2 linked regions of the Drosophila melanogaster genome follow. The protein of the gene in region 1 interacts with the protein of each later gene in a pairwise test. Each region holds a gene or a part of one and is shown in the gene's direction. Other genes may lie near its edges. The genes, in order: CG34168 and CG15126.

Region 1 (3,297 bases):
AAGGAGTTCACTTGACTCGCCCACACAACGATAATCATGTTGTTGATGCCGATGCACGGACTGCTGTAGATATAGATATGGTATCCTGATTCACTGAATCACTAACAAAGTCAGACAGCATCCATTTCCACTGCGCCTGACTGCAAGTGCTTCGTCAATAAAAGTCCCCATCGCTGGATTATTCAGACAGGCAAGTGACCACAACAGACTTCCTTTGAAGGTATTTTGCCAATTTATTAATCAGAAATCTATTTTTACTACCCGAAAATTTCCTTTGTTGTCGATAGTAATAATTATATTTTAAAGAGTACAGATTGTGTATTAAGTTTAATTTTTATTTATAAGTTACATAAATGAATAATTAATATTTTATGGTTTTAAATTAAATAAAGTTTTCTATTTGACTATGTAGAATCTATGTGAGCACTTGTAGCTTTCCTCATATGTATGTATATTTTAAAATTTATTGTGCAATTATGCATTATTAGTTATGATTAAACATTTTAATGGAGTTTTCTTCCGCTTTTAAGCTGTGAGTTACAAACAAATAAATCAAAAACATAAGAACGGAACCAAAAACTTATCGCTCCAAAACTTCCGCTGCACGGACGCTCATAAAATGGGGGACATTGAACTTCTGAGCGGGCTGAAAAAGGCATTGCTGAAAACTGTAAAAATACCAGCGAAGAAGCCGGAAAAAAACAGTGGAAAAAAGTCACATCAACACGAAACATTAAGCTTCACAGTCACAACATATTCGGCTCTTCGATGCATTTTCCTTAAAGTCGCCATGGAGTTCAAATCGAATGGGAGCGCACGCGCCTGCGAATATGCAATGCTGTAATACGAGACCAACACGCGATGGAGATGATGTTTGGTTACGGAAGGGGATACGGGAATTTTCCCGGGGTATTCGGGGTTCCGGAATCGGAACAGAAAATAAGCTCAACCAGACCCAAAAGGCCACCAAACGAACGGGCTATTTACGAAGGGCGGAAGTGCTTTAATTTAATGTTGGTAAAAGATAAGAAGTTAATCCGATCAAATTTTCTTGGCCTTTCCTTCATTTAATTCGATTAAGTAATAGATGAGATAGTGATGTTGGAAAATCGATGTACATGAGCTTTATAAGTAAATAAACTTGTAAAATGTACAGAATTCTTCATCCTTCAGAGTTTTTTTTACTTATTTTCTTAAACTCATAAAAATTAGGAACTTCGAGATGGATTAATTTACACTCAGCCTTACAGCTTATTTGGGTGAAAACGTGAAAAGTGTTGGGGTAATCGACTCAATTAGCTATTGCATAAGCACACTTTGCACACTCCCGCGCCAGCCAAACAAACACCAAACTCAATTAGATGCCATAACTAAATAATCACAAACACATTTACGCCAGCAAGAGCTCTTTTCAGTTGAAGCAGACCGGTTGGTAACCAAGAAACGTGGCAAAAAAAAAAGAAAAGAAAACAGAGAACCAGGTCAACAACAGAAACAACATGAGCAACAATTTTGAAACAATGAAATGACGACAACGACAGAAGCGGCAAGGCATGCCTGGAAAATTGCTTCCAAATGCTCAGAAGCCAGAGTGGAAATATGGGTAGAGTCGGAAAAGTGGGTGGCCTGGGTGGCTGGGGGACATTCCAACATGTGACGCACGTGACAAAACTTGTCAAGTGACTTTACTTCACTTTGACTGCGAATCCCGGCTCTGTTGTCCGTAAACAAGAAGACGGAATCCCGGCTGTGAAGAAAAATAGGTTTGTGTGCATTGCCCAACACAAAATGCTTAAGAAAACTCTGCTCTTGGTAAAACAATGAAAGGTGGGGCAAAGAGGAAAAATCAGTCGCGGCTTGGCTTTTCCGACTTGTTGCGCCTTCGGCTAAATTATGACATCGAGAGTTTTAGGGGAATGGGAAGTCCTTCGGGACGGACTGAAGTATTTTTGGAGGAGCAATGGAGTGGAATTTTATGGGACACACAAACAATCGGGAACGGTTTTATGAATTAAAATTCTTAAAGCGAATTAGATAAGAGGCTAAGAGGCTAACTGTATATATAGTTAATCAAATTTTAAAATTTGGAAAAAAGCATTTTAAAAGCAGGCCATGAAACCACAACATAGAAGGCCATGAAATCAAAGTTAAATCTGTAGAACTTTGTGGACCAAGCTAGTGGCTTTAGCTCATTATAGTTTCGGTTCTCCAACAGAAAACATCTATTTGTACGACTACCAAATTTCTAGGACTGAAAATCCTACTTCCGTAATCAGGCTAATGTGAGTGTGAACAACAAACGAATTTGTTTCTTGAAAATATCCTCGATTCGTTTCATTTCGTTTTCAGAATAAAATGTGCAATCCAGGAATGTGCTCGATGCCCGGCACTTGCTGTGGACCGACTGGCGGACTGGGACCCTGCCTGCTCTGCGGACCCTACAATGGCCAGTGGTTCCGTTCGGTCAACCACTGTTGCGGTCCTTGTGGCCCATATGGTTGCTGCTCATGCTACGGGCCGTATGGTGGACATTGTTAGCCTGCTTAGAAGGAATGTAGGGTTTCTTTATCCGCGATCTGGAACAGGAGCTTTAAAGATTGCAGCCGTGAGGCCTTGTCGAAGATGAGGAGCCACGCTGAAAAGTTGTCAGGCAAAGTGGATCCAAAGATTTGTGTTCGATGAAAGATTATGCCATCAGAAATAGATGTTAATAAATTATACGTATAATTCAAAAATAGACCACTTTAATTTCACTTCACATGTATTGCTATCAACAGTTAGCAAACCTAATTAAATATTTGGCATGCATTCTGTGGAAACAATCACAAAATTCCATCTCGTAATTTGCCGTTTTTGGTTTTCTTTTCAGTCCGCCGGGTGCATTTAAGGCTAAACCCCATTTGATTGTAAATATTTGGCTCGTTTACGGCTAACGATACATCGGGGACCAGCCAAAAAGACGTGTAATGCTAATGGGCCTGTTGAGTGCAAATTTGTTTACGAGTAAAACACCACTAAAACAGATGGGCTTGCTGATTGCTTTCAATTTTATTTAATCGAGGCACCCCGCATCAGATCGACCAGAAAAATTGATATCGTTAAACATAGTGAACAACAGAAACGGTAAGTTTAAAGAGTATATCATCGTGATACGGCTACTTGGTGCGTTTGAGTGCTTTGCTAAGACTGGGGAAATACTCGTCACTGTTGAGATCAGGAGCTTGAGGTTTTCCGGACATCTTGGATGGAACCTTACGCAGACGGCTCTCAGCCTGATCCCGTCGATTGAAGTCACCT
Region 2 (2,888 bases), on another chromosome or scaffold:
GGGGCAACTCAACGCGATCATAAATCTAATGTGTAATAAATTTAAACAGCGAAATCATGCAAAAAGCAAAGGCAGGTCCTGTGGCTTAGCTCACGCACAGGACTCCTTTTCTAATTTTTTTTTCTACTTTTTTTTCCTCGACAATGACTACACTTTAGCGGCAAATTTGTGCGCATTGTCGCCGTATTATTTGCTATTATTTATGCCTTTTCCACTATTTACTTCCTTTCTTAGCGCCCGCCACGCTATTTTCAGGGGGAGGTATGCAAAAGTGGCCACTCCTTGGCCAAAGGAATAAAACCCACACATTTACAGCCGCGATCAGTTTAATAGTAGTTTTTATAATAGTTAAAAAAAAACCAAAAAAAAAGTATAACGCGAATATGAACCACAATTAAAAAGTTATTAAGTATTATGAAATGTATTGTAGCCAAAAATAACTAACAAAACAAAACTAATAAATACCATAAGTCTTAGGGTAAAAACCGAACCATTTTGTTTACAAAACATATTATATAGATCTAGCACTATTTATGTAACCGCAACTGTATCCACATATAGAACAGACGGGAAAATACACTGGGAAAACCGCAGGCAATCATGGCTGGCTGACACTTATGGCGTGCTAAGCATTTGCGCTCGGAGAGGCTCGCGTGGATTTTAAACATTTTCACACAACATTCTCATATTTAGACGTCGCCCATCAGCCAGTGGAAATTCGCCTGCCGGTGTGTGGGTTTTGCCTTTTGCCAACCCGGCGATAATGTAAGCTCCTTTAAGCCCGAAATAAAGAACGCGAAAAGCGGACGCGAATGCGACCGCACCAACAACATGCAACGGCACACGCGACCCCAAACGAAAATCTGTGAAATGTAATTGTTACCATGAAAGCAGGGCCAACTCCCCTTCACCGTTCCATTTGGCAAGGGAAACCCCCTTTTGAGGGCATTTTAAGTAAGTTTCGCAGTTTGATAATCGCCGGGCCTCAGCCGCCAACGCTGATATACAAATTGGCTTTTGCAATGACTTTATATATTTTACGAGTTGCGGTCCTTTTTTCGAGTAAGCGTCCTTTCGTCCTTCAGTCCTTTAGCCGTTTTCCGTTTCGCATGTGAGCAGCCCTGGGATGCGATTATAAGGGAAAACTGATGCAGATAAAATTAATTGAATTCAAAAAGCCAAGCCATTGGTCTTGCTCCATCCGTTTTCTTGCCGAATGTGCCTGCACTTGGCTTGGCGAATTTTCGCCATACTTTTCTGGGTCATGTCATGGGGAAAGTAAATAGTTACATGGCCACGGCTGCCTTTTCTTTATCAGGAATTAAAATCAAGTTGCTCCACTCGCATGAACTATATATGCACTATAGCAATCTCAATGGCAAATTGACAAAATCAGATTGGTGGAAAGTTCGTATTCTACAATTATTAAGTACTATTGCCTTCATTGGCAAGGGCAGTAAATAAAGTACAAATGGAGTTTCGGTTTCAGAAGAAAGCCAATAAGTCGTGTATTCTAAGAACATTCGAATTCGTATTTGAATTTCCATAGAATAATGTTGATCGATTGGGCGGTCTTATAAGCACATAATTCCGCAAAATTTGAAAGCCATTATCTTATCGATTTACCAACAAACCTTTTAGAAAATCGGAAATACCTTGGAATAGATTACCAATGAAAGTTACATTTGTTATCTCTTGGGTTATGTTATTTTGAATTATTATTAAATTTTAAGTGTACAATAGAGAAAATGCACATTTCACAAAGTCCCAGCGGTAGTGTACTTTTTATAATTTTGGAAGCTTAATCTTATCACTTAAAAACTAGAAGCAAAAAAAAATTGTACATATGGCTATCTCAGAAGGAGACCTTAGAGGGGTTTTCCTCATTTTATTTGTCATGACTAATTCAGCATTTACAAGGCCTTACTCATCGCCATGGTCATCATAATATTCCCATGTTTGTGCTAACTAACACTTCTATCGATTAGCAAGCAATACTATACAGATTAGATAGTACTTATCTTTATGAGGCAGGTCTTGATTAGATTTACCCTGACAATATGGATTTAGTTGCCTATAAGAGTTGGACCCAACCGCACGGTTTTCAAAGTTTGCAAAAATATCTGAATAATGCCACCACCACACGGAGGACCCGGAGGCCATGGACATGGAGGACCGCATCATGGCGGACCCCCGCATCATGGAGGCCACCATGGACCGCCACATCACCATGGACCGCCCCATCATCACCACGGACCTCGTCCCTGCTGCCTTTGCTGCACAATTTCATAAGAATTTATAAAGGAATTTATTAAAGATTGTAGTTTTAAGAACCCTCACGTAATAAATACGAATGCCCCGAAGGAGTTCTGTAACTGTGTATGTGTTTAAGGTTAATAAGACGCCTAATTAGTGTAATCGAGTGCCTCGAGTGCTAAGCAATTAATGGCTGGCTAATCATTATGTGTCACCTCAAAACGCTTTAAAACCTCAAAAGCCGCTGCCATAATACAAGTGTACCAATGGTATCTGTGTGTTTTGTTGCGTGTCGGGAATGCGTGTGTGTGTGTGTGTGTGTGCGTATTTGAGGGGGAGTGGATGGATGTGGTTGGAGGTGGAGATCCTGTAGCCATACACACACGCACTTCACATTTAAGGTCGGACTGGTCGGTGGCTCTAATTTATAGCAGCCAAGTGGATGCCGAAGACCAGAAGACATACAAGTGCCATAAATTCTGGCAAAGGAACACATTATTTATACTGTCAACCGGTCCATATTTCGGATGGGAAATACTACGGCCTAACCATAAATAAGTGCATTGCCTTTGCTGTGCTGCGAAATAAGTCTTCATTAGCGGTTAAAAGGCTGACTGGTTGACCCACAAAGG

Evidence for each region.
Region 2: the proteins of CG34168 (region 1) and CG15126 interact in a two-hybrid assay, tested with the Drosophila melanogaster proteins (2 studies listed by BioGRID).

Annotation. Positions count from the first base shown.
Region 1 is NT_033779.5:16,134,147-16,137,443, reverse strand, and holds CG34168 (uncharacterized protein), read left to right. Parts: upstream 1-2,171; 5' UTR 2,172-2,282; intron 2,283-2,349; 5' UTR 2,350-2,355; coding exon 2,356-2,538; 3' UTR 2,539-2,730; downstream 2,731-3,297.
Region 2 is NT_033778.4:19,688,715-19,691,602, forward strand, and holds CG15126 (uncharacterized protein), read left to right. Parts: upstream 1-2,083; 5' UTR 2,084-2,130; coding exon 2,131-2,292; 3' UTR 2,293-2,364; downstream 2,365-2,888.